Callithrix jacchus: one gene and its partners. The protein of the gene in region 1 interacts with the protein of each later gene in a pairwise test. Links are inferred from orthologs where the notes say so. Each region holds a gene or a part of one and is shown on either strand. Other genes may lie near its edges.

Region 1 (3,500 bases):
TGGGGGATCGGAATAGGCAGGAGCCATGGAAGATTTCAGGGAGAGATTGGGATTGTATTTGGCTGAAAGAGAGTCCCCCAGAGTGGCCCAAGCCTCAGGTGTGTATTACAGAGGATTCATCATTTAATCCACAAAATGGTGCTTCCAGCATTCAGTGCTTAGCCTTCTAGAGGCATTAACTCAGTTTCTCTCTTCCTATAGAATGGAGCCCTGGCACCAAGAAGCCAACAAAGGGTCGAGAGAGCCTATTTCTCAGCCAGTGGCCCCAGAGCCAGAAGGACACCTGTGGTGAGGAGGGTTGCTGTGACCCAGTGGGCACTGCATCACTTCCCCTACCACCCAAGAAACCTGCATGTCCAGTCAAGAAGAACATACTCTATGAGTTATTTGGGGCCACCAAGAACCCCAGCGGGCAGCTGAAACTTCGAAACAAAGTGGAAGTGGATGGACTGGAGCTGAAAGGTGAGCTGACCTACCCAGGGACGGGCTGCAGGGAAGGGGCTTGCATTGACCCTCACAGGCTTCAGGTGGCTCTGTTTGTCTCATCTATAGAAAATTCACTGCCTTTCTATAGTTGTCAATTTTAAAAACTACAAAATGGGAAAAATGACTTTCTCCCTATATCCCTTCTTGGGAATACAGTGCCAGAGAAATGTAGTTGGCTTTCAAGGGTTATATCAGCATTATTATTATTTATTTTTATTTTTGTAGGAAGAGAGGAAGGCAGGAAGGGAGGAAAGGAGGAAGGGAGGGACGGGGGAAGGAAGGGAGGGAGTGGGGGAGAGAAGGGAAGGAAGGAAATCAGGCAATGAGAGAGACATTGACGACCAGGATCTAGAGGTCTACAGTTGATTTCTTTCTTTCTTTTTCTTTTTTTTTTTTTTGAGAGAAGGAAAGAATAAAAAAGGAGTGAAGGAGAGGAAGAAAGAGGAAGAAAAAGAGGGAGAGAGAACGGAAATGTTGCTTTATTCTAAAAAAAATGGGTATTAATAATGGCCAATCAATATTTCATTTAAACCTATGAGTAGGTGTGATGTGGTATTGACAAGAATGTATATTTTGTGTATTTAAAGTGGAGAGCTCTATAAATATTTATTAAGTTTACTTGTTCCGGATCTGAGTTCGAGTCCTTGATATCCTTATTAATTTTCTATCTCATTGAGTCTAAGTCTCTACGTATCTGGGCATTAGGATCATTAGCTCTTATTGTTGCATTGATCCTTTTACCATTATATCTTTGTTGCTTTAAAATCCATTTTATCAGATACGAGAATTGCATCTCCTGCTTTTTATTTATTTATTTATTTATTTTTGCTCTCCATTTGGTTGGTAAATCTTTCTTCTTCCCTTTTTTGAGTCTTTGTGTATCCTTGCATGTGAAATGGGTCTGTATGTAGCATACCGTTGGGTTTTGGCTGTATCTTTTGATTGGGGGATTTAGTTGATTTAAATTTAGGGTTACTGCCATTTGATGTTAACTGGCTGTTTTATCCATTCATTGATGTAAATTCTTCATTATGTTGATGCTCTTTACTTTTTGGCATTTTTTAGAAAGGCTAATACTGGTTGTTTCTTTCTATGTGTAATGCTTCTTTCAGAAGCTCTTGTAAAGCAAGCGTGGTGGTAATAATATCTCTGAGTACTTGCTTGTTCATAAAAGATTTTATTTTTCCTTCAGTTATGAAGCTTAGTTTGGCTGGATATGAAATTCTGGGCTGAAAGTTCTGTTCTTTAAGGATGTTGAATATTGGCCCCCACTCTCTTCTGGCTTGTAGGGTTTCTGCTGAGAGATCTGCTGTAAGTCTGATAGGCTTCCCTTTGTGGGTAACCTGACCTTTCTCTCTGGCTGCCCTTAGTATTTTCTCCTTCGTTTCAACCCTGGTGAATCTAACGATTATGTGCCTTGGGGTTGCTCTTCTTGAGGAATATCTTTGTGGTGTTCTCTGTATTACCTGGGATTGAATTTTGTCCTGGTTTGCTAGTTTAGGAAAATTTTCCTGAATAATATCCTGAAGAGTATTTTCCAGCTTGGATTCATTCTCTCCATCACATTCAGGTACACCTATCAAACGTAAATTTGGTCTTTTCACATAGTCCCACATTTCTTGGAGACTTTGCTCATTCCTTTTTATCCTTTTCTCTCTAATCTTGTCTTCTCATTTTATTACATTAAGTTGGACTTCGACCTCTGATATCCTTTCTTCTGCTTGAACAATTCGAGTGTTTAAACCTGTGCATACTTCTTGGAGTTCCCGTATTGTATTCTTCAGTTCCATTAATTCACTCATATTCCTCTCTAAGCTGTCTATTCTCATTAGGATTTCGTCAAAACTTTTTTCAAACTTCTTAGTTTCTTTACATTGGGCTACAACATGTTCTTTTAACTCACAGAAGTTTCTTATTATCCATCTTCTGAAGCCTGATTCTGTTAATGGGATGCGCTCGTTCTCCATCAAGCCTTGCTCCCTTGTTGATGAGGAACTGTAATCCTCTTTAGAGGGAGAGGCATTCTGATTTTCAGTATTCTCAGCCTTTTTACGCTGGTTTCTTCCCATTGTTGTAAATTTATCCACCTGTTGTCTTTGTAATTACCAACTTTCAAATTAGGTCTCTGAGTGGACGTCCAAGTTGTTAATTCCCAGGGCCGAAATATGAGCAACCCACTGCGCCGGCCAAAACAGTGGTGTTAAGACTGATGGTGCTTTTCTGCCTGGGAATCTCCAATCTGGTTTCCTTCTTGAATCCATAATAGGCGACTCTGCCTTCTCGGAGCTCCAAACCTCAATCAGAAGGAGAACCAGTCCCGTTTACTCTGCACCAAGAGCTGCCGTGCCAAGGTGCCGGCAAAACTGTTGCGCCGGCCACAAGAGTCGCGCTGATGACCCATGCACCTCCTCCAAACCTTGGTCAGAAGGGGAACCAGTCCCGTTTACTCTGCACCAAGAGCTGCTGCGCTGAGGTGCCAGCAAAACTGCTGCGCCGGCCACAAGAGTCGTGCTGGCAACCCATGCAGCTCCTCCACTGGGAATCTTCTGCTCCATGAGCCATCAAAATTTGTCTGAAAGTGTGGTGTCCTCTCGTTCTCTGTGCTTTCACTGGGAGCTACAATCCCGAGATGTTAGCGATCAGCCATCTTGGTTCGTTCCCCCCGTATCAGCATTATTAATAGTCACTTCTGAATATAGCCCTGATCCAGCATGTATTATATCCTCTGAAATTGTCCAAGCCAAAACAAAAAATCCTTGTTTTAGATTATTTCTACATTGAGATTATGTTCCTGCTTTCTCTTGCTTGCCCTCCTACAACTGTTCTAGTCAAACCTCTTTTTCCAAAAGGAAGCCAATAAGGGGGAAACAGAGGACCCATTTCTGATTTTTTAAGCCCCCACGACATCTTGTAGAAAGGAAGAATCCAGGATTCTTATCTTGAAACAACTCAATCTAACTTCATTCGTTTAGACCAATTTTGAGTCACTGCATGCTGAATTTAATGTTTTAAAA
Region 2 (3,892 bases), on another chromosome or scaffold:
AAAAAAATATTAGCCAGGGCATGGTGGCACAGGCTTGTAATCCCAGCTACTTAGGGGGCTAAGGCAGGAGAACCACTGGAACCTGGGAGGCAGAGGTTGCAATGACATGAGATGGCACCCACTGCACGTGAGCCCGGGAGACAGAGCGAGACTTTGTTTCGAAAAAAGAAAAGAAAAAAGATTTCCATGTACTCTGTGCTTGTTTTGGGCATTATCTTTGATACCCCATACTGCAGTATTTTTCTTGCTTGTAGATAGGTTACATATGTTGTAGTCTGGGTCAACTGCTCCTCTTTCTCAAAAGACTTCCTTCCAGAGTGTGGTTGGCCTTACTCTTTGAGTTTGGACTTCAGGTTCCATGTACCACCCTGGTGGGAAGGGCATTTTTCAGCTCTCCTGTGATATCATCTCTTTCTTCCCAATGCCCTCTACCAGTTGTTCAGCAAAAGGCAGCAATTCTGCTGTATTTTATGTGAACCTGTGAATCAATCATTTGATCTGGTTTCTCCATTTACTTGCAGTGCACATAACTAATTCTGCTGGTGAATTAGTCTGCTTGTCTGTATATGTCGTCAGTTTGGCCTCACACTTGACTGGTATTTACTTTGAATTAGCAATTTAGGAGGGCCGGGCGCAGTGGGTCAAGCCTGTAATCCCAGCACTTTGGGAGGCCGAGGCGGGTGGATCACAAAGTCAAGAGATCGAGACCATCCTGGTCAACATGGTGAAACCCCGTCTCTACTAAAAATACAAAAAAAATTAGCTGGGCATGGTGGTGAGTGCCTGTAGTCCCAGCTACTCAGGAGGCTGAGGCAGGAGAATTGCCTGAACCCAGGAGGCGGAGGTTGCGGTGAGCCAAGATGGCGCCATTGCACTCCAGCCTGGGTAACAAGAGCGAAACTCCATCTCAAAAAAAAAAAAATTAGGAGCAAAATGATAACTCCGTGGACACTAGAAGCCATTGCTATCTATAAGTGAACTGCCACATTTCATCATGACAAATAGTGGAATAAATATAACAAGAAAATGTGCTTGCTCTAACCTGACTAAAACTTACATTCCTCTGTGTTCAAGGCACCAAATTCACATGCATCGTCCTGCCTGGTAGACACCTGATTTTTCAAACTGCCTGTGAAAAATCATGTAAATTTTTTGAGAGATCTGAAGTTTAATCTTAGCTCTCAAATGTATTTGGTATATTTATTAATGTCTTACTACCTCCCTCATCTGTAAAAGAGGGAAAATTACTATTGCATATATTTTTTAACACATATTAAATAAATTTGTCATTTTTGTTTTTGTTTTTCAGCCACAAAAAAGCCACACCCAAGACCACCTGACACCCATCCTGTCAAGTGTCCATGATGCTGGGCCCTGAGGGAGGTGAGGGCTTTGTGGTCAAGCTCCGTGGCCTTCCCTGGTCCTGCTCTGTTGAGGACGTGCAGAACTTCCTCTCTGACTGCACGATTCACGATGGGGCCGCAGGTGTCCATTTCATCTACACTAGAGAGGGCAGGCAGAGTGGTGAGGCTTTTGTTGAACTTGGATCAGAAGATGATGTAAAACTGGCTTTGAAAAAAGACAGGGAAAGCATGGGCCACCGGTACATAGAGGTGTTCAAGTCCCACAGAACCGAGATGGATTGGGTGTTGAAGCACAGTGGTCCCAACAGTGCCGACAGCGCCAATGATGGCTTCGTGCGGCTTCGAGGACTCCCATTTGGATGCACAAAGGAAGAAATTGTTCAGTTCTTCTCAGGGTTGGAAATCGTGCCAAACGGGATCACATTGCCTGTGGACCCCGAGGGCAAGATTACAGGGGAAGCATTTGTGCAGTTTGCCTCCCAGGAGTTAGCTGAGAAAGCTCTAGGGAAGCACAAGGAGAGGATAGGGCACAGGTACATCGAGGTGTTTAAGAGCAGCCAGGAGGAAGTTAGGTCATACTCAGATCCCCCTCTGAAGTTCATGTCCGTGCAGCGGCCGGGGCCCTATGACCGCCCCGGAACCGCCAGGAGGTATATTGGCATTGTGAAGCAGGCAGGCCTGGAGAGGATGCGGCCTGGTGCCTACAGCGCAGGCTATGGGGGCTATGAGGAGTACAGTGGCCTCAGCGATGGTTATGGCTTCACCACCGATCTGTTCGGGAGAGACCTCAGCTACTGTCTCTCTGGAATGTATGACCACAGATACGGCGACAGTGAGTTCACAGTGCAGAGCACCACAGGCCACTGTGTCCACATGAGGGGTCTGCCATACAAAGCGACAGAGAACGACATTTACAACTTCTTTTCTCCTCTCAATCCTGTGAGAGTCCATATTGAGATCGGCCCAGATGGAAGAGTGACGGGCGAAGCAGATGTTGAGTTTGCTACTCATGAAGAAGCTGTTGCAGCCATGTCCAAAGACAGGGCTAACATGCAACACAGATACATAGAACTCTTCTTGAATTCGACAACAGGGGCCAGCAATGGGGCATATAGCAGCCAGGTGATGCAAGGCATGGGGGTGTCTGCTGCCCAGGCCACTTATAGTGGCCTGGAGAGCCAGTCAGTGAGCGGCTGTTATGGGGCCGGCTACAGTGGGCAGAACAGCATGGGTGGATATGACTAGTTTTGTTAGGAACATTTGAGTTATTTCAATCAAATTTTACACAGGCAGCCAACAAGCAGTTAAGAGCAGTTATAATAGAGGAAGCTGTGGGACCCATTTTGCACCATGAGTTTGTGAAATCTGGATTAAAAAAATTACCTCTTCAGTGTTTCTCATGCAAAATTTTCTTCTAGCATGTGATAAGTAAACTAAAACTATTTTCAGCTTTTCTCGATTAACATTTTGGTAGTATACTTCAGAGTGATGTTATCTGAGTTTAAGTAGTTTCAGTATGTTAAATGTGGGCCTTTTACACCACATCACTGAACACACTGGGGAGACGTGCTTTTTTGGAAAACTCAAAGGTGCTAGCTCCCTGATTCAAAGAAATATTTCTCATGTTTGTTCATTCTAGTTTATATTTTCATTTAAAATCCTTTAGGTTAAGTTTAAGCTTTTAAAAAGTTAGTTTTGAGAATTGAGACACAATACTAATACTGTAGGAATTGGTGAGGCCTTGACTTAAAACTTTCTTTGTACTGTGATTTCCTTTTGGGTGTATTTTGCTAAGTGAAACTTGTTAAATTTTTTGTTAACTAAATTTTTTTCTTAAAATAAAGACTTTTTCACAATGACTGGCACACATTATCTGCTCAGCAAAAGATAGCAAAATGGGTGGTTGAAGATAATTCATTTTAATCGTAATGTATTTTAGTGTGAATTTAAAAATAATTTCATACATCAAATCTATGATCTCCCTTATATTCTTATGAGGCTAAATAAAAGTCTAATAAAAATGTTAAATATGTGAATGGTGGAAATGGTGACTAGAAACACACATTCCGGGAAGCATCAAATGGACACATGCGGCCCCAGCCACCTCTAATGTGCATGGTTCTAAACCATTTGGAATTTCCTACTAGGCCCTTTGATGCTGGAGTCACAGGTGATAGCTAGAGAGCTTAAGCCAGTTTAGTTTTTATAAAATCTAGTGATTTACTTTTTTCTTGGATCAGGCTCATGATTTTTGTGAGGATGTATTTGTGAATTAGGTTATGGCAGGATACATCAAGCTTGAGACCCGTTTTCAAACTGCTAGCCACCTTAGCAAAAGAAAGCTGTGCTTAAATTCAGGCAGTTCTATGTATAGCACACAGTATTACCTTTTTTTTTTTTTCACATGGAGTTTCATTCTTGTTGCCCAGGCTGGAGTGTGATGGCACAATCTTGGCTCACCACAACCTCTGCCTCCTGGGTTCAAGTGATTCTCCTGCCTCGGCCTCCCAAGTAGCTGGAATTAGAGG
Region 3 (3,500 bases), on another chromosome or scaffold:
TCATAGGTCATAGCTGGTTATGACCCACCAGCTTGTTGAGACATGAAGCTGAGTAGTACTGATCTCACTTTTAGAGATGAGAAGAGTGAAGGCCAGAGAAGTGAAGTGAGTTGACCAAAGTTGACAACATATTTAGGACAAGAACTAACCCTACAGCCAAGTCCTCTCCATTCCAGATCAGAAGACTATATTTTGTACTACAGGACCATGAGATGGCATATCTTTTATTGTTGCATAATAAGTTATCAAAACCTTAGTGGTTTAAGACATGTATTTCTTATCTCACAGTTTCTATGGGTTAAGAATCTGAGGCCGGGAGCCGTGGCTCATGCCTATAATCCCAACTCTTTGGAAGGCCGAGGCAGGAGGATCACTTGAACCCAGGAGTTCAAGACTAGCCTGGGCAACATAGTGAGACCCTGTCTACAAAAAGAAAGAGAGAGACAGAGAGAGAGAACCAGAATCAGGATATAAGAAGTAAGGGAGAAGAGAAAAGAAGCAACAAAAACAATTTAAATCCAGGGAAACCAGGAGGATGCTCCTGCGTGTGTAAAGACAGGAAATTATGGTTACAAAGATGGCACCAGGCTGGGCATGCTAGCTCATGCCTCTAATCCTGGCACTTTGGGAGGCCAAGGTGGGCAGATCACTTGAGGCCAGGAGTGTGAGACCAGCCTAGCCAACTTGGTAAAATCCGTCTCTGCTAAAAATACAAAAATTAGCTGGATGTGGTAGTGTGCACCTGTAGTCCCAGCTACTTAGGAGGCTGAGGCATGAGAATCACTTAAACCCATAGAGAGAGGTTGCAGTTAACTGAGATCATGCCACTGCACTCCAGCCTGGGTGACAGAGCAAGACTTAGGGAATTTATTTGGAGGCATTTTAGATATGGAAGATGAGGCCTGGAGTCATGATCTAGAAGGAGACAGTGGAGTAAAGAGAAGGCTAAACTCTTCAGCAAAGGAAGTTAGAAATTTAAGGGTGGTAGTTAGCAGGACAGGAGAAAGAAGGTGGGGAGTCAGCAAAGGAAGAGAAGGGCCTACCACTATGGTGGGAGGCTGGATGCAGGAGAAAGATGGCTGCTGAGAGATCCATGACCAGAAAGGCCTCAGGACTACATTGGGCTTTCTGAAATGTGATGACTTTAGTATGGTTTTAAATTTTTTTTTTTTTTTTTGAGAGTCTTGATCTGTTGCCCAGGCTGGAGTGCAGTGGTGCAATCTCAGTTCACTGCAAACTACACCTCCCAGGTTCAAGCGATTTTCCTGCTTCAGCCTCCCAGGTAGCTGGGATTACATGTGTGCACCACCACAGCCAGCTAATTTTTGTATGTTTAGTGGAGATAGGGTTTCGCCATGTTGGCCAGGCTGGTGTCGAACTCCTGATCTCAAGTGATACACTGCCGTGGCTTCCCAAAGTGTTGAGATTACAGGTGTGAGCCACTGCACCTGGCCACTTTAGTTTTGATGTCCTGTGATTTAAATCCTTTATTTCGACTCAAGTCTTCAGTGAAGTCTGTTATACATACCAATGGGATGAGGGAGACATTGCTGCTGATGACGTTCTGTGATGCAGCTAGCTGTATTTGGGATGAGGGGGGTTATTTATTTATTTTTTTAATTTATTTATTATACTTTAAGTTCTGGGATACATGTGCAGAATGTGCAGGTTTGTTACATAGGTATACATGTGCCATGGTGGTTTGCTGCATCCATCAACCTGTCATCTACATTAGGTATTTCTCCTAATGTTATCCCTCCCCAATTCCCTACCCCCTGCTATCCCTCCCCTAGACCCCCACGAGGGTGGGGGACAGTTATTTCTTACTAGTTTCAGACAGAAGAGCAGGCTTGTCCTGTAATGTGTCCTAGAGGCCAAGAGGTTCGTGAGTGCTTCCCCCACATTCCCTCAGGTGACTGGTTCTTCAGGAACTATGAAGGTGGTGGTCGTGGACTCAGTCACTGCGGTAGTCTCCCCACTTCTGGGAGGTCAGCAGAGGGAAGGTGAGTGATGTGGCAGAGCCTGGGGTCAGTGGAATGTGACCTCGCCTCCCAGCTCTGGATTCTGGCCCCTGGCCAGCCCCATCCCTGGTTCCCCGCTGCCCTCCCTCTCTGCTTCTCCTCCTCCTGCAGGCTTGGCCTTGATGATGCAGCTGGCCCGAGAGCTGAAGACCCTGGCCCGGGACCTTGGCATGGCAGTGGTGGTGAGGAAGCAGGCTTGGCCAGTGAACTTGATTTTTAGTTATTGCTAGCTCTTTATTTCCTTTCAATGTCAGCTTCCAAACACCAAAGTGGCCCTTTAGGAAGGGGACAGATCCCTGCTTTCCTGGGTCAGCTAAAGCTCTGCACCATAAATAGCTTAAGGAATCAGGAATTGGCTTTGTTTGTTGATTGGTTTTTTCCTACCTTTTTCTTTTTAGTCAGGTTTATTGAGGTGTAACTTACATAGAGTAACTTTCTCCTTGAAATTCGACTAATGGAGATAGTTGTATCCAGTCTTGTGACCTTACCAAAGGGTCCCCCAGGCCCGTGCAGCCACTGATCTGTTTTCCATCCCAATAGTTTGGCCTTTTCCAGAGCTTCATATGAATGGATGTTTTTGCTGTTGAAGTAACTTTTTCTGCTTATGAGGTAGTTTTTTTTAAAGTCTGCTTGCTTCTTTCTCATAGAAAGGATAAAAAAATATATGATTCATATTTGCCATCAATCTCTATATCCACAGAAACCATATTAATATTTTTACATATCTCCATAAAATATTTTTTCTGCATATTTACTTATACATTTAACCAACTTTTTTTTCTTTTTTCTTTTTCTTTCCTTTTTTTTAAGATAGGGTTTCACTCTGTTGCCCAGGCTGGATTGTGAGGGTGCAATCACTGCTCACTGCAGCTCAACCTCCCAGGCTCAACCAATCCACCCGCCTCAGCCTCCCAAAATGTTGATATTACAGGTGTGAGCCCAGCCTTAACCAACTTTCTAACTAAACTAACCTCATGAAAAAAAAAATAGGCCAGGTGTAGTGGTTTATGCCCGTACATCCCAGCACTTTGGGAAGCCATGGCTGGTGGATCACGTTAGCCCAGGAGTTCGAGACCAGCCTGGGCAACATGGCAAAATTGCACCTCTATAAAAAGTACAAAATCCGGGTAGCCTTGGTGGCAGGAGGATTGCTTGAGCCTGGAAGGTCGAGGCTTCAGTGAGCTATGATCATGCCACTGCACTCCAGCCTGGGCAACAGAGCAAAACCTCATCTCAAAAACAAACAGGCCAGGCACGGTGGCTCATGCCTGCAATCCCAGCACTTTGGGAGGCTGAGACTGGCAGATTGCTTGAGCTCAAGAGTTTGAGACCAGCCTGGACAACATGGTGACACCCTGTCTCTACAAAAAATACAAAACATGAGCCAGGCATGGTGGTACACCCCTGTAGTTCCAGCTACTTGGGAGGCTGAAGTGGGAGGATCGCTTGAGCCCAGGAGGCGGAGGCTGCAGTGAGTCA
Region 4 (4,251 bases), on another chromosome or scaffold:
GGCTCCTCCTTGGAGTGTTTGTAAGGTTCTTTTGCTGTGAGTAACCCAGCCGCCAGCCTCAGTGGAACCTCTGGGCCTCATTCTGGAGGAGACTTTGACTCGGTAAGGTTGCCCATGGTCGCACGGCCTGTGACTGCGCTCAGTCCTGGTTTTATCAAGGTAAAGCCTTTTCTTCTCCCAGTGAAAACAGCTCCCTTGCCCTGGGTTTGGGAGATCAAAGGCATTCTTGCTCATTGCAAATAATTCGGAAAACAGAGTCGAGTGTAAAGAAGAAATGAAAGGCAATGCAGTCCAGTTAAACAGAGGGAGATAACCAGGAATGACATTTCCAGGAATTGCCCTATACTTTGGGAATTTTTTCCTAGGATTACCACAAATGCACATTTGCACATTTATTCTACATAAAATATAACGTGTGCACATTCGATGCCATCCTTTTTTTTTTTTTTTTTTTTTTTTGAGACGGAGTCTCACTCTGTCGCCCAGGCTGGAGTACAACGGCAAGATTTCGGCTCACTGCAATCTTTGCCTCCTGGGCTCAAGTGATTCTCCTGCGTAAGTCTCCCAAGTAGCTGGAATTACAGGACTGCGCCACCACATCTAGGTAATTTTTGTAATTTTAGTAGAGACGGGTTTTCACCATGTTGGCGAGGCTGGTCTCGAACCGGTGACCTCCAGTGATCAGCCCGCCTTGGCCTCCCAAAGTGCTAGGATTACCGGCGTGACCACGGCGCCTGGCCGCCATCACTTAGGCATGTGTTTCATGTAGGAAATGTCTAAGACCATAATCACTACTGTGTGTGCTACCCCCCCGCGCGCGCGTGAACTCAGGCCCCTCTGGACGGACAATGGGGACCCCTGACCACTTACATCTTTGGAAACACGCCTCCCAGCGCTCCGGAACCTCAGGGCAGGACTCGTCGCAGCAGCAAGTAGGACCCGCTGGGGGCGCACAGCCCACCTGAATCATTGTAACTACAAGTCCCAGCAGCCCCTGGTGCGGGGACTGGACGCCGCGACCGGAGTCCGGAGAGACTACAAGTCCCGGCAGGCAGGGTCCAGACGAAGGCACTACGAGTCCCAGAATGCATCGCTCCTAGCTTGCGCAGGGAACCCTGGGAGATGTAGTCGTTGAGGAAGCTAATGCCTATTCATTCCATCTCAAAGAAGATGCAAATTCTTCAGACAGTCCACTGAGATGAGTTTTCTCAGGCAGGCCAGGCGCGTGGGCGAAAAACGGGGGGAAAAAAGCCCTGGGAAGCCGATACCGTCGCGGGAGAAGCCAGCCTGCGCATGCTCACCGGGAGGCCGAGCGGGAAAAGTGCGCGTAGTGGGCCTCGCCGCCCGCACGCCCCGCCCCGGCCCCGGCCCCACCCCCGGGCCTGCGCGCCCAGTGAGCCTGCGCGGAGGGCGGGGGCCGAGCGTCGCGGGGAGGGGCTCGCGGCGCCTGCGCAGAGCGGCGGCTTCTCTCGCGAGGACGGACGCCATTATCGCATCTCCCCGACAAACACCACGAGAATTCCGCAGCCCACACGGTAATTGCAGCTCCCGCAGCCGGTCGCGCCTCCGCCTCCCCCTTCCCGCGGGGCGAGAGCGAGAGCGAGATCTCCCTCCTCCCTCCTCCTCCTCCTCCTCCCCCTCCCGCCCGCCGGGCCGTCCGCGCCGCAGCCCCGCCGCCGCCAACTGTCTGGGCCGGGCGAGCGCCCCCAGCTCCTCGCTCCCCGTCCCTGGCCGCGCCCCGGAAGAGGGGCTCCCGCTTCCTCGCTTCCGCACCCCCTGCCCCGCCGCGCCCCGGCGTCCGTTGGGCCGCGGCTGCCGTAGCCCGGCCCGGGGGCCTCGAGCTCCCGATCTCTGCTCCGGGGCCGCGGCGGGGAGACTGGAAAGGCCTAGAACCGCGCCCGTGCTCCTCGGGGGACCGAGGTCTCCCTCGGGGGTGGCTCCTGCCAGCCAGCCGTGAGCGACGGGCACCGTTTCTGTGCCTCCTCCATGGCTGTGGACAGGAGCCCCAGTAGCCCAGGACTTGCACGCGGAAGCCTCCGGCGCGCAGCGAAACGGGCGATCTCAGGGCTGCCGCCGAGCTCGGCGAGGACCCCAGCCCGTTCCCGGGGGCCCCCTCCTCAGCGCCTGTGTGCGAGTTCTGTGGTGCAGCCCCTAAAAAGGGGGCCGTTTGTTTTTCCCTGGGGTGCAGAAAGTAGATGACGTTCCATCCCCACTGTGTGAGCGCACTGGAGACAGTGCCTTGCTGGAGGGGACTGTGGTTTTTCCCTGAGGACGTGGCAGGGCTTGTCTTGCTCTTGGGGAGATACATCAGCCCTGAAGAACTGTGAGCAGGTGCACGAGTGTGGGCTCTGAACGGTGGCGAGCTCGCACCCTCCCCGGGGAGGCCCGGGCCGCACAGTTGATGTGGAGCCGGTCATTCTCTGTTTGGAGTTGCCTGTCTGCCCGGGAATGTACTCCAGGGCCTGATGGCGTTGGCGGAACTTGCGCTGCAATAAATAACCGATAAGAGGAGGCAGTCTTAGGGTACACTTGTAGCTGGAAGTTCTTGGGGGACAGAAAAATAGCTCGGAGTAGTGAGTGGTTCTGAGGAAGATCAGAAAACATCAAATTAAAACTAGATCTGGTCATTTCGCCCGCAGCTCGCAAATACCCAGTGCTAGAAGAAAACACCGAAACGAGGTGAAACTGTATGTAGGTGCATTTCCCCTGCCTTGCAATTCAAATAAGAATATATTCATAAGCTGCAGCAAGTACCACTGGGCAGGGAGACCTCCACCCAGGCTGCGCTGGAGGCAGTGGGAAGACGCCCAGGTAGAAGAGCATCGAGGGTCTGGCGGGGCCCATAGCCTACGGAGCTGAGCCTCGGGGCTGACAGCATTCCAGGCTGAAGGCCCCCAGCAGGCTCCGATCCACATGTTAACAGGTGATTATTGTTAATAAACAGGTGTTCTGTATTTACTTACAACTCAAGAAATATTCCAGGTAGGCAGTTGTTACCCGCTTACCACTAACTGAAAGGTCCTCTCCACAAGGGAGCCACGGGGCCAGGGCAAACTTAATGTTTCTCAGCAATGTTGGATTCTGTGCTCACTGGTTTTAATGTTTTTATTTTCTGGAGGCAGGATTTTAACTGTCTGCCAGGCTGGAATGCAGTGTGGTGATCTTGGCTCACTGCAGCCTCAACCTCCCTGGCTCAAGTGATCCTCCCACCACAGCCTCCCAGGTAGCTGGGACCACAGGTGCCACCACACCTGGCTAATTTTTGTATAGTGGGGGGGGTTTCGCCTTGTTTCCCAGGCTGTGGCTTTAATCTTTAAAAAAAAAAGAGCTTCAGGCTGTGGGGGCAGCTCAACATCTTGCATCCTTCACCGTGACCCCCACTCCATAGATGAGGTGATGTGGCTGCAGATGCTGAGGGCATGTGTGCAGATGCACAGAGCCAGGGCTCCAGTTCAGTCTCTCTAAGCTGATGTTCTTAAAAAACACACCCCATCCATTCAGTGTTTTAATCAACATAGTGTATACAGCAGCCATGTCAGTGGAAGACTTACATGAAAAGCAGTGTCCCCTGCCCCACCTCCCAGCCCCATTCTTCAAAGCCTGGTTTCTTGAGGTCCTTCTCCATAGCTCTAAGTAAGCTGGTCTTTTCATTTGTTTTTGAGATAGGATCTCCCTGTGTTCCACAGACTCTACCCAGCCCTGGTGACCCTCAGCCTCCTTAGTAGTTGTTGCAGGCATGAGCTGCCACACCTGTTGCCCAGGGTGGGCTTTAACGTGCCCTTTAAGCTGATACTTTCTTTTTTTTTGAGATGGAGTTTCGCTCTTGTTACCCAGGCTGGAGCGCAATGGCGTGATCTCGGCTCACTGCAACCTCTGCCTCCTGGGTTCCGGCAATTCTGCCTCAGCCTCCTGAGTAGCTGGGATTACAGGCACGAGCCACCGTGCCCAGCTAAGTTTTTGTATTTTTAGAAGAGACGGGATTTCACCGTGTTGACCAGGATGGTCTCGATCTCTTGACCTCGTGATCCACCCATCTCGGCCTCCCAAAGTGCTGGGATTACAGGCTTGAGCCACCGCCCCTGGCCTAAGCTGATACTTTTTTTACTCAGCCTTGACTTTGTGTTATGATGGGTGACGGATCCCTTCTGTCACATGCCGCCTCCTCCATCTCATGTACCCTGTTTTCAGGGTAGGGTCAGGTCCCCTCCTTCTTCAGCCTCTCAGCTTTTTCTGTAACCTGCACACGAGCCA
Region 5 (4,048 bases), on another chromosome or scaffold:
GTCACTACCTTCTCTTCCCCATGACTGAGTCTCTTCACAGGTCTCCTGCCCCTTGTTCCCTCCACCATGTCATACAAACCTTGATGACATTCCACTTTTCAGATTAAAATCCATTAGGGCCTTACTATCACCCAAGATAAAATTTAAATGCCATAAGTTGGGTCCCTGCCTCTCATGCCAGCCCCTCTGTTGTCCCCTCCTTCACATACCCTAAACTTTTGAATGCATTCTGGGTGAGTCAAACTCTGATACCCTACAGGTCTTTGCATTTTTTTCCCACCTGCCTGGAATGCTGGTTTCCCTGATCTCTGGTTAGGTGGACAATCAGGACTCATACTTCAAATCCCAAAGTATTATTCCCAAGAGCCTTCCATTCTTCATTGAGCCAGGCCTCTTTCCTCTCTTAACTTTCCTACCACTTTGAATATACCAATACATACCGGTGTTATAGCAGGACATGTTTGCATGTCTAGTTCCTCACTAGATTGTGAGTTCCCTGAAAGCAAGGTCGTATCTCTTAATGGTGTTATCGTCTGGTACAACACATAATACGTTGAGAATCAGACTGATTCAGATAGAACTAAACTTCTTAGCTCTGTGGTCTTGGGCATGTTACGTATAACTTTTTGCCTCATGTTCCCCTATTTGTAAAATAGTGCTAATGAAAATAGTGCTTATAATAATTATCGTGAAGACGAAATAGCAAAACTCTTGTGCGCTCCTTGTACATAGCTGGCACTCAGGATAGACACGGCTATAGAGTGCCCTCCATAAATATTTGTTGAATCAACTCAGCAGAACTAAGGAAGCGTACTGACTATTACGCTGTATACCTACTAGGTGCCAAGCCTTGTGCTAGAGTACTCCAGTTTTCGCGGTCTATATGCAAGTCTTTAATTGTTGCCTTTTAGGGATATGGGACCTGAGCCCCCAAATCCTTGGATGCGTCGTTCACCTAGGTGTTTGTTAAGAACGCTGTGCGACGTTGCCCTCTGTCGCTCGCTGATCGTAGCCCGAGGTCAAGCTTAGGCGCTCTCACAAAACCCAGACCACTCTGATGTTTTCGGCTTTGCTTGTTTCTCCTTTCCCAAACCTGTTGGCCGCTCGCTACCCTACTGCGTTTTCAACAGGCCGCGCCCACCCACTGGCGGACTGGGCTCCGCCTAACTCGCGCCCACTGGGGGCGGGGCTTGCGGCGCCTAGCTGACGTCACTTCCAGCGGACACGGAAGCGCGGTAGTGGGCAGGCAGTTGTAGTTAGGAAATCGTGATGGGACGCCGCTCTGCGTGAGCACCTGACCGACGTGGGCCGAGCGGGGCCGGCCCGGGCTCCTGTGGCCTGGACAGAGCGGAGAGTGTGGAGCGGCTTCTGGGCCAGCGCGGACGAGCCCTGGCCGAGCGCGCCTCTGGTGCCAGCGTCGCCCCGCCTCCAGGGTAGTACCCGCCCCACCCTCCGGGCTTGGGACCAGGCGGGCACTTTTGTCTGTAGGTTCCGCCTATCCGCATTAGGTCCGGGATAACTGGGTGCAGCAGGTGTGCGGCCCGCCGCCGGACAGCCCGCTGGCTGTTTCTTGAAGCCCTTGCCTGCCTCTTCGCAGCCCTCTCTTGGGCTACTGGAAAGCTGAAGTGGAGCAGTCCGTTCAGAACCTTCATGGAGAAGTTTGCTATGAATTTCGGTGGCGGCCCGAGCAAGAAAGACTTGCTGGAGACTATAGAGACGCAGAAAAAGCAGCTTTTCCAGTACCAGGCACGGCTCAAGGATGTGGTCCGTGCCTATAAAAGCCTGCTGAAGGAGAAAGAGGCGCTAGAGGCCAGCATCAAGGTGCTGTCGGTATCCCACGAGGCAGATGTGGGCCTCGCAGGTGTCCAGCTTCCAGGCGTCGCCTTTCCGGACTTTGTGGATGACCGGTGCTCCACTCACAGTGAGGATAGCACTGGGACCGCCACTAGCGTGGATACGGCAGCCAGTCTCACCAGCACCAAGGGCGAGTTTGGGATAGAAGATGACAGACCAGCCCGTGGACCACCACCTCCGAAGTCCGAAGAGGCCAGTGGGTCAGAGAGTGGTGTTAGCAGTAGCAGTGGGGATGGGCCATTTGCGGGTGGGGAGGTGGACAAAAGACTGCACCAGCTGAAGACTCAGTTGGCTACTTTGACCAGTTCTTTGGCCACAGTCACTCAGGAGAAGTCCCGCATGGAGGCTTCTTACCTGGCTGACAAGAAAAAGATGAAACAGGACTTAGAGGATGCCAATAACAAGGCAGAGGAGGAGAGGGCTCGCCTGGAGGGAGAATTGAAGGGGCTGCAGGAGCAAATAGCAGAAACCAAAGCCCGGCTTATCACGCAGCAGCATGATCGGGCCCAAGAGCAGAGTGACCATGCCTTGATGCTGCGTGAGCTCCAGAAGCTGCTGCAGGAGGAGAGGACCCAGCGCCAGGACTTGGAGCTTAGGTTAGAAGAGACCCGAGAAGCCCTGGCAGGACGATCATATGCAGCTGAACAGATGGAAGGATTTGAACTTCAGACCAAGCAGCTGACCCGTGAGGTGGAGGAGCTGAAAAGTGAACTGCAGGCCATTCGAGATGAGAAGAATCAGCCAGACCCCCGGCTGCAAGAACTTCAGGAAGAGGCCGCCCGCCTTAAGGGCCATTTCCAGGCCCAGTTACAGCAGGAAATGAAAAAGGTAATTATCCACCTCTCTTTCAAACATAGTCATTGATCTGAAGTGGGAAATACTAGGGTTTTTTTCCTCCTTTGCTAGTGAGAGCTAAGTGTTTGTACTGTCATTTTTGATGCTACCTGAAAAGTTCCACTGGTGAGTCCCGGGAAGTGCTGTTTTATGTGGTGTTGACGTAGAAGCTTCCAGGAGGATGTGGAGCTTCTCAGTGTAGGCTGGGTTGGAGCCAGTCAGCCCTGCCCTTCTGGGCATTGGCATCTTACCAGCTGTGTTCTATGAAGCAGTATAGTGGCAGCTGTACAGTAAAAGGTAGTGTATTTTCTGTTGGTATGTGCCGCTAGGGAGGGTGGCTGAAGGCAAAGGGGGATTTTCTCAGAAGTAACCTCTTGTCATTGCCTTTACTTAAGATTTGCCTATTCTGGAGAAATGCTATTTTCCAGAATAGGCCTCCTTTCTGGTGGAGAAAGGGGGCTTCCTTCCAATGTGGTGAGGGAGCTCCAGCTCAGTTTTGAACTACTAGGAATATTAGATAAGGAAAAATCTTGTATGATTTCTTAAGATTTGAGGAAGCACCTGAAAAACAACAGTGACACACATTATATGTGAGTTAGGTGGAAAGCAGAATGGAATGGCAGATATGCCAAGGTGCTTAATATTTTTTAGTATAATATGTCTTGCAGAACCCAGGCAGGTCATAGGAACTTTTGTTAGCTCCTGAATCAACCGAAAAATCCCTATTTCCCATTCTTGTCAGGCCATTCCAATCCTGTGACCCTTTTGCTCCCCTGTCCTGCTTTCTCAAAGTTTGCTGTGGGGCTTTTGTGGATGCATTATTTCTCTTCCCTTATTTTGCAGACAGCTCTTGCAGAGGATCAACTCCGTCAGCAATCTCAGGTGGAAGAACAGAGGGTGGCAGCCCTGGAGAATCAAATATCTGAGGTGTCGGAGCTGCTGGGCACGTACGAGAAAGCCAAGCAGAAGGACCAGCTGGCCATCCAGAAGCTGAAGGAGCGTATTCTGCAGCTGGACCTGGAGAACAAGACACTGGCTCTAGCAGCCTCCAGCAGGTCCCCTCTAGACAGCCATGGAGAGGAGTCTAGTCTGGATGTCAATGTCCTGAAGGATAAAATGGAGAAGCTGAAGAGACTGCTGCAGGTTGCAGCCAGGAAAAGCCAGGTGACCCTGGATGTGGAGAAGCTCTGTGACCTGGAGATAATGACCAGCTCGGAGACTGCTGATGGGGAGAAGGCTACTGCACTCTATTACCAACAGGAGCTGAAACAACTGAAGGAAGAGTTTGAGAGGTACAAGATGAGGGCCCAGGTGGTCCTAAAAAGTAAGAATACCAAAGATGGTAATCTGGGGAAGGAGC
Region 6 (4,232 bases), on another chromosome or scaffold:
TGTAATCCCAGCTACTCAGGAGGCTGAGGCAGAAGAATTGCCTGAACCCAGGGGGCGGAGGTTGCGGTGAGCCGAGATCGCGCCATTGCACTCCAGCCTGGGTAACGAGCGAAACTCCGTCTCAAAAAAAAAAAAAAAAATTAGCTGGGCATGGTGGTGCGCGCCTGTAGTCCCAGCTACTCGGGAGGCTGAGGCAGGAGAATTGCTTGAACCCAGGAGGCGGAGGTTGCGGTGAGCCGAGACTGTGCCATTGCACTCCAGTCTGGGTAACAACAACGAAACTAGGTCTCAAAAAAAAAAAAATCTGTATTTAAAAACAAAAAACAAACCAACCAAAAACACCAGCCTGGGCAACATGGTGAAACCCAATCTGAACTAAAAATACAAATTAGCTGGGCGTGGTGGTGCGTCCTTAGTCACAGCTACTCCGGAGGCTGAGGCGGTTGGATCACTTGAGCCCGGGAAGTTGAGGCTGCAGTGAGCTGTGATCTCGCCACTGCACTCCAGCCTGGGTGATGGGAGTGAGACCGTGTCTCAAAAATAAATAAAAATTAACTATTGTCTCCGGCCCCAAACCATAGGTGTCCCTACAGCAGGGGCTGCCTGGCATGCTCTCCGCTCTGGCACCTCTAGGTGGTGCCAAATAAATCTTTGAGCGAAGACCTCTGAGTCCCTGTCTGTCTGCGACTCTGTCCTCCCAGGCCTTCTCACGTGGCAACTGCAGGCTCCTTTCCTCCTGGCTCAGTGTGAGCCAGGCAGGGTGATCCCTTCCTCTTCTACCCCGTCTCCCCATCTCCCTTTCTTCACTGTGCTTTACGCTAATATTATTTAGTTGCTTGAATGTGCGCGTGCAGCACCCAGAACGCTCCCTGCACACAGGAAAAGATGAGTTAATGAAATAAAGCGCCCAGCGTGTAGTAAGGGCCAATCAATGTCTATTAGTAGTGGAACCCCAGATTGGGTGGCCCCAGCCCTGCCTCCCTTCCCCCAGGAGGCGCCGAGGTCCCGGAGCAGCCCGCTCCACCCTGTCCTTGACCTTTCTCCCTGGGTCAGTTAAACCGACCGTCTTTCCCGCTCTACCCTGTCCTTGACCTTTCCCCCTGGGTCAGTTAAACCGACCGTCTTTCCCGCCCGCCGAGTACATTTGAAAACCGAAAACCCCGCCATTGCTGGCAGGCCACCGGTTGCCGCGCTCTGACCAAACAGGAGCGACGTCTTTCACCCCGAGCCCGAAATTACCCCGGCGACGCCAATCCATTGGTTACGCAGGTCCTGTGGGCGGAGCACCGTAAGGTTGCGCCACAGGCAAAGCGGCATCGTTACACAGTAGCGAATTTGTAAGAAAACAAATCCCCGGAGTTCGGGGCGGGGCCGGGAGCACGTTGGCTCCGCCCCCTGGCGGCTGCCCTGGCTGCTGCGGCGGCGCAGGCTCAGAGCAGACCCCGCCCGGCTAGGAGGAGGGAGGGTGAGTTGGGGGGAGACCCGGCCCCCAAGGGGCGGGCGCCGGGCAGGGCCCCGCGGGCGGCCGAGGGTTGGGCCGGACTCCCGGCCCCCCACCGGGGGCCGGCTGACAGGGGGAGGAGCCCGCTGGGAGGGCCGGGGTCTCGGGCTGGGGAGCCGGGCCGGGAGTGCAGCGCAGCGAGGCGCACCGCGGCCGCGCCCCGGGAGGGCTGTTCGGGCCAGCGCCCGCCGGCTCCTCGGTGCTGACGGCGCCTGGCTGGGGCGGGGTGGGGGACTTCGCAGGCCGTCATTGTCGACATGCTGCTGGAGGAGGTCTGCGCCGGCGACCGGCTGAGTGGGGCCGCGGCCCGGGGCGACGTGCAGGAGGTGCGCCGCCTTCTGCATCGCGAGCTGGTGCATCCCGACGCCCTCAACCGCTTTGGCAAGACGGCGCTGCAGGTGAGGCCGGGCTGGCTCAAGTCAGGGGCGGGGCGGGGCGGCTCAGCGAGGTGAGTGTTGAGACCCCAGAGCCCCTCTCCTCTGGTCTCTTGGCCCTGGTGGTGCAACCTACTGGGGACCGGTCCTTCTTCTCTAGGCTTTTATTGTTCCCCCATGGTCCCCTTTCGAAGGTGGGTGGTGGGTGAGGCTAGGTTGGAGGGGGAGGGGATAGCTTTCCAGATTCTTCTCTGGGAGGATTCCTGGTTCTCTGAGTGCAGGGGATTCTTTTTCTCTGGGGAGGTTTTCTATTCCGTGGGTTCAGCTTCTTTGGATGCCTTTTCCCTGGGGACGGCTCACATTTTTGGGGGCTTCTATGGGAAGATCCGATCTCTGGAAGGAGAGGTCCGGTCTCCAGGGGTTCCTCATTTTGTAGGGGGCTCTCTGAGACATATTTGGTTACTTGGGGGTGGGATCTTAATTCCCAAAGTTTATGCGGATCTTTGGTATAGTGTGGGGGCCCCGGAGGAGAAACAGTGTCAGATTGTAAGAGTCCCTATATTCCCTTGGGAGACGTGTTACAGAGGAGTCTCCTTTCTCTTACTGCTTTTGGAATCCTCCTTTCCTTTCTTTTCTCTCTCTCTCTCTTTTTTTTTTTTTTTTTAATTTTTTTTTTTATGGAAGCTGGAGTGCAGTGGCACGATCTTGGCTCCCTGCAACCTCCACCTCCCTGGTTCAAGCGATTCTCCACCCTCAGGCTCCCGAGTAGCTGGGATTACAGGCCCCTGCCACCACGCCTGGCTAATTTTTGTATTTTTAGTAGAGGCGGGGTTTCGCCAAGTTGGCCAGGCTGATCTTGAACTCTTGACCTCAGCTGATCCACCCTCTTCAGCCTCCCAAAGTGCTAAGATTACAGGCGTGAGCCCTGCACTGGTCAGAATCCTGTTTTTTGAAAGGAGCTCTCAGGTACCCTGAAGTGACATCATCATTATATAGGAGGAGGCTATTTCCTGGAGAATGGCGGTGGGGTTCACTTTTCTTTGGCATCTCTTTTTCCTTTTGAGGACTGTCAAGTTCTTTGGGGTAGTTCTCAGTCTCTTGGGGCCCATTTCCTGGAGGGGATTTTATATTTCCTGGTGATTGCCCATATCTGGGGTGTCTTTGGTCCCTTGGAGGAGAGTCAGGTTCCTTGAAAATTTCCATGGGGGCTGTTCTCTGGGTTGGGGGACTGATATTATTCTTAAGGGAGTGACCAGCTTCTGGCGGGTTGGGGTGAGGACAGGCGGTGGGGGGGTGGGGGGGCGGGGAGGAAAGGGTTCTCTATTCCCAGGAGAACTTTTTCTCTGCGTTCTCAAACAGTTCCCAGGGGGCTTATGCAGCTTCCCCGTTCACTAGAGGACCCCTCCTCTGGCATATCCTGTTCCTAGGAGATGCCTCTTTCTGGATGACCCTTCTCTCTCCAGTGACCCCTTTTTTGGAACCCCTTCCCTCGAAGACCTCCTGATCCTCTGTCCCTCACACAGGTCATGATGTTTGGCAGCACCACCATCGCCCTGGAGCTGCTGAAGCAAGGTGCCAGCCCCAATGTCCAGGACACCTCTGGTACCAGTCCAATCCATGACGCAGCCCGCACTGGATTCCTGGATACCCTGAAGGTCCTAGTGGAGCATGGGGCTGATGTCAACGCGCCTGATGGCACCGGGGCACTTCCCATTCATCTGGCGGTGCAAGAAGGTCACACTGCTGTAGTCAACTTTCTGGCGGCTGAATCTGATCTCCATCGCAGGGATGCCAGGGGGCTCACACCCCTGGAGCTGGCACTGCAGAGAGGGGCTCAGGACCTCGTGGACATCCTGCAGGGGCACATGGTGGCCCCGCTGTGATCTGGGGTCACTCTCTCTAGCAAGAGGACCCCATGGGGTTATATATCAGGAGAGAGGGGAAGAAACACTTTCTCTTCTTGTTTCTCCTGCCCACTGCCGCAGCAGGGGAGGAGCACCAGTTTGTGGCTTATAGGTGTTGGTTTTGGGGGTGTGTGTGTGTGTGTTTGGGGGACGTTTCTCATTTGTTTTTCTCACCCCTTTTGGTGTGTTGGACAGAGAAGGGCTCCGCAGTCCACAGCCACCTAAACGGTTCAGTTTCTTCTGTGCCTCAGACAAGGCAAGGGCCGAGCATTTAAGAGTGAGGTCGTCATTTCCAGAGCTCCTGGAACCTGGTGACCTTGGCCAGCTGTGCTCAGAGACCTGAAGTGACGTTGCTTCAGGCATGGGGGTGGGAGAGCGTCCTAAATCAATAAGAAGGTAGCATGAGTTTATATTCTGTTGGAAGCTTGTTTTCCAGTCTCTTGTACAGCGTTT
Region 7 (3,500 bases), on another chromosome or scaffold:
TTCGTCCAACTTTTCCACTTAAAATATGTGGCCTAAAAAATAAAACAATAAATAAGACAAACACCAAAAAACAAAAAGAATGTGGTGGCCTAATGGTACACACATTTGATGTTGAATCTGCCTGTATGTGGCGCTCTCTAGAGAGATCATGTTTCATGATCTCAGCCAGACCTTAGGTCCTGTGAGTCCAGGCACTGGACTTAACATGCTCAATAGGGCTTTGATGAATGATGATGGTGTAAGTGCAGACATCCCCATGCCCCAGCTTCAGCACCCCCTTCACCTCCCAACATGAGTGCAGAGGGGTCTTTTGCTTCTCCTGACTATGTTTATGCTCTCAACTATCCTTCCATCTCTGGAGACAAGTTTCATCTGCACTAACCTGTCTTTGAAGGTGCCGGGAGTTGGACGGGTCACAGGCCCTGAGCCAGCAGGCTGAGCTGATCTCTCGTCAGCTGCAAGAGCTGCGGCGGCTAGAGGAGGAGGTCCAGCTCCTGCGAGAGACCTCACTGCAGCAGAAGATGAGGCTAGAGGCCCAGGCCATGGAGCTGGAGGCTCTGGCACGGGCGGAGAAGGCTGGCCGAGCCGAGGCTGAGGGCCTACGTGCAGCTTTGGCTGGGGCTGAGGTTATCCGGAAGAACTTGGAAGAGGGGAGCCAGCGGGAGCTGGAAGAGGCTCAGAGACTGCACCAAGAGCAGGTGAATCCAGAGGTGGAAAGGATTCAAATTCATAATGGAGAGCTGGGCAGTAGCTTCCAAGCAGGTATTGCAGAAAAGACCCCCCGCCATGAGTAGTAAGCAGTGGAATGATGAGACCTTTTGGTGAAAGGAAACACACATGGCCTAGAGAGATGGAGAACTTGGGTGCTTTGATCTTAATTCAGATTCTACTTTTCCCCCAAGACTCAGGTGGCCTCCCACCACTTGAAGCCCTCCTTTCCTTTCTAGTAGGAAGTAATTTGCCTCCCTACTTTACTGCAGGTACCAATTCATTGGGGGTATTGTGGAGGGCAGTGTGGAAGGTGGGTAAGGAGGCTGTGGTGGACTGGGATAGAGATTATTCAGTCCACAGTGCTTACTCTTTGCCATCTATGAGACTTAGTGACCAAATTAGCCTGAGTCCTGCTTTCATGGATGGAGCTGACAGCCTTGTGGGGGATACACTCGTCTATATTTAATTTAATCATAAGTAATTGCAATTGGGGGAGTGCCTTGAAGAAGGACTAGAGAGCGCTAACTTGGTCTGGGGTTCAGGGAAGGCCACTAACCTGTCGGCATGTCAAGAAAAGTAACCATAGGGCTGGGCATGGGTGGCTCACGCCTGTAATTCCAGCATTTTGGGAGGCTGAAGTGCGTGGATCACAAGGTCTGGAGTTTGAGACCAGCCTGGCCAACATGGCAAAACCCTGTCTCTACTAAAAATACAAAAATTGGGCCGGGCGCGGTGGCTCACACCTGTAATCCCAGTACTTTGGGAGGCCAAGGTGGGTGGATCACGAGGTCAAGAGATCGAGACCATCCTGGTCAACATGGTGAAACCCCGTCTCTACTAAAAATGCAAAAAATTAGTTGGGCACGATGGTGCATGCCTGTAATCCCAGCTACTCAGGAGGCTGAGGCAGGAGAATTGCCTGAACCCAGGAGGTGGAGGTTGCAGTGAGCCGAGATCGCGCCATTGCACTCCAGCCTGGGTAACAAGAGTGAAACACGGTCTCAAAAAATAAAAATACAAAAATCAGCTGGATATGGTGGTGCGTGCCTGTAATCCCAGCTGCTCGGGAGGCTGAGGCAGGAGAATCACTTAAACCTGGGAGGTAGAGTTTGTAGTCAGCCAAGATCATTCCACTGCACTCCAGCCAGGGCAACAGAGCTAGACTCCATCTCAAAAAAATAAAAAAATAAAGAAACCATAAAGGAACTGGGAGAAAACAAGGGAGAATTAAATTCCTTATAACCTTGTAGTGTACAAGGCCTTTCTACCTATGAGTCAAAATCCAAAATCTTGAAGCCATAAAGGAAAAGATTGACTCATCGACTTTATAACATGAACATTACGAATAGCAAAAAAAAAAAAAAAAAGCTATATTTATAGCTCAGATTACAAGAAAAGGGTACTATCCCTAATATATAATGTGTGTATAGAATTTGGTAACGGAAAGACCAGCAGTCCAATCAGAAAATGGACAAAGGAGATTCATGAAAGAAACTTAGCAATAAGAAGTTAGGCCAGGCACGGTGGCTCATGCCTCTAATCCCAGCACTTTGGGAGGCCAAGGCGGGTAAACCACTTAAGGCCAGGAACTCGAGACCAGTCTGACCAACATGACGATACCCAGTCTCTACAAAAAATACAAAAATTAGCCAGGTATGGTGGCAGGTGCCTGTAATCCCCCATCTTCTTGGGAGGCTGAGGCAGGAGAATTGCGTAAACCCAGGAGGCAGATGTTAGGATGAGGTGAGATCACTACTCTCCAGACTGGGCAGCAGAGCAAGACTGAAAAAACAACAAGCTACCATTTGTGCTGAATAAGGAGTTGGCCAGTGAAGAGGTGTGTGGGGTGCAATGGTAGCTGGTGGACACTCAGCAGGACAGCAGATGGAGATGGGGACAGGAGGAGGCTAGAAGGCTGGAGCACAGAGATAAAGGGCCCTGAGTGTGTTGCAGAGCACAGGACCCAGGGTGCAAGGCCTTGGTCAGTTCAGAACTTGATACTTTCCCTTAAGAGTAATGAGCAGGCGGCCGGGCATGGTGGCTCAGGCCTATAATCCCAGCACTTTGGGAGGCCGAGGCGGGTGGATCACGAGGTGAGAGATCGAGACCATCCTGGTCAACAAGGTGAAACTCTGTCTCTACTAAAAATACAAAAATTAGCTGGGCATGGTGGTATGCGCCTGTAGTCCCAGCTACTCGGGAGGCTGAGGCAGGAGAATTGCTTGAACCCAGAAGGCAGAGGTTGCGGTGAGCCGAGATCGTGCCATTGCACTCCAGTCTGGGTAACAAGAGCAAAACTCTGTCTCAAAAAAAAAAAAGAAGAGTAATGAGCAGGCTGGGCACAGTGGCTCATATCTATAATCCTAACACTTAGGGAGGACAAGGCCAAAGGATCACTTGAGCCCAGTAGTTTGAGACTAGCCTGGGCAACGAAGTGAGATCCCCGTGTCTATTTTATAAAATAAGTTAGGGCCTGGCACGGTGGCTCACACCTGTAATCCCAGCACTTTGGGAAGCCAAAATGGGTAGATCACTTGAAGTCAGGAGTTTGAGACTAGCCTGGCCAACATGGTGAAACCTCATCTCTACTAAAAATATAAAAATTAGCCAGATGTGGTGGCTCATGCCTATAATCCCAGCTACTTGGGAGGCTGAGGCAGGAGAATCGCTTGAACCTGGGAGGCAGCGTTTGCAGTGAGCTGAGATCCAGCCTGGGCAATGAAGTAAAACTCTATCTCCAGAAACAAAAAAAAAGAAATTAAAAAAATTTTTTTTCCTTTTTTTTTTTT

What was found.
Region 2: the proteins of C7H1orf94 (region 1) and HNRNPF interact in binary tests that used the Homo sapiens proteins (3 or more experiments, as listed by UniProt). The two-hybrid records come from large-scale screens. The link is inferred for Callithrix jacchus from reciprocal best matches to the Homo sapiens genes C1orf94 and HNRNPF.
Region 3: the proteins of C7H1orf94 (region 1) and RAD51D interact in binary tests that used the Homo sapiens proteins (3 or more experiments, as listed by UniProt). The two-hybrid records come from large-scale screens. The link is inferred for Callithrix jacchus from reciprocal best matches to the Homo sapiens genes C1orf94 and RAD51D.
Region 4: the proteins of C7H1orf94 (region 1) and BANP interact in binary tests that used the Homo sapiens proteins (3 or more experiments, as listed by UniProt). The two-hybrid records come from large-scale screens. The link is inferred for Callithrix jacchus from reciprocal best matches to the Homo sapiens genes C1orf94 and BANP.
Region 5: the proteins of C7H1orf94 (region 1) and GCC1 interact in binary tests that used the Homo sapiens proteins (3 or more experiments, as listed by UniProt). The two-hybrid records come from large-scale screens. The link is inferred for Callithrix jacchus from reciprocal best matches to the Homo sapiens genes C1orf94 and GCC1.
Region 6: the proteins of C7H1orf94 (region 1) and CDKN2D interact in binary tests that used the Homo sapiens proteins (3 or more experiments, as listed by UniProt). The two-hybrid records come from large-scale screens. The link is inferred for Callithrix jacchus from reciprocal best matches to the Homo sapiens genes C1orf94 and CDKN2D.
Region 7: the proteins of C7H1orf94 (region 1) and CCHCR1 interact in binary tests that used the Homo sapiens proteins (3 or more experiments, as listed by UniProt). The link is inferred for Callithrix jacchus from reciprocal best matches to the Homo sapiens genes C1orf94 and CCHCR1.

The regions. Positions count from the first base shown.
Region 1 is NC_133508.1:70,756,120-70,759,619, forward strand, and holds part of C7H1orf94 (uncharacterized protein C1orf94 homolog), read left to right. Parts: intron 1-201; coding exon 202-462; intron 463-3,500.
Region 2 is NC_133513.1:36,076,449-36,080,340, reverse strand, and holds the end of HNRNPF (heterogeneous nuclear ribonucleoprotein F), read left to right. Parts: intron 1-1,309; 5' UTR 1,310-1,361; coding exon 1,362-2,609; 3' UTR 2,610-3,392; downstream 3,393-3,892.
Region 3 is NC_133506.1:99,061,352-99,064,851, forward strand, and holds part of RAD51D (DNA repair protein RAD51 homolog 4), read left to right. Parts: intron 1-1,871; exon of another isoform or gene 1,872-1,912; coding exon 1,913-2,003; intron 2,004-2,132; coding exon 2,133-2,203; intron 2,204-2,835; coding exon 2,836-2,952; intron 2,953-3,500. UniProt on the Homo sapiens protein: Involved in the homologous recombination repair (HRR) pathway of double-stranded DNA breaks arising during DNA replication or induced by DNA-damaging agents. Bind to single-stranded DNA (ssDNA) and has DNA-dependent ATPase activity.
Region 4 is NC_133521.1:45,581,185-45,585,435, forward strand, and holds the start of BANP (protein BANP), read left to right. Parts: upstream 1-1,451; 5' UTR 1,452-1,535; exon of another isoform or gene 1,536-2,923; intron 2,924-4,251. UniProt on the Homo sapiens protein: Controls V(D)J recombination during T-cell development by repressing T-cell receptor (TCR) beta enhancer function. Binds to scaffold/matrix attachment region beta (S/MARbeta), an ATC-rich DNA sequence located upstream of the TCR beta enhancer.
Region 5 is NC_133512.1:119,386,003-119,390,050, forward strand, and holds the start of GCC1 (GRIP and coiled-coil domain-containing protein 1), read left to right. Parts: upstream 1-1,248; 5' UTR 1,249-1,650; coding exon 1,651-2,682; intron 2,683-3,531; coding exon 3,532-4,048. UniProt on the Homo sapiens protein: Probably involved in maintaining Golgi structure.
Region 6 is NC_133523.1:9,744,341-9,748,572, reverse strand, and holds the start of CDKN2D (cyclin-dependent kinase 4 inhibitor D), read left to right. Parts: upstream 1-1,432; 5' UTR 1,433-1,465; intron 1,466-1,743; 5' UTR 1,744-1,758; coding exon 1,759-1,899; intron 1,900-3,398; coding exon 3,399-3,758; 3' UTR 3,759-4,232. UniProt on the Homo sapiens protein: Interacts strongly with CDK4 and CDK6 and inhibits them.
Region 7 is NC_133505.1:35,974,947-35,978,446, reverse strand, and holds part of CCHCR1 (coiled-coil alpha-helical rod protein 1), read left to right. Parts: intron 1-394; coding exon 395-698; exon of another isoform or gene 699-732; coding exon of another isoform or gene 733-762; intron 763-3,500. UniProt on the Homo sapiens protein: May be a regulator of keratinocyte proliferation or differentiation.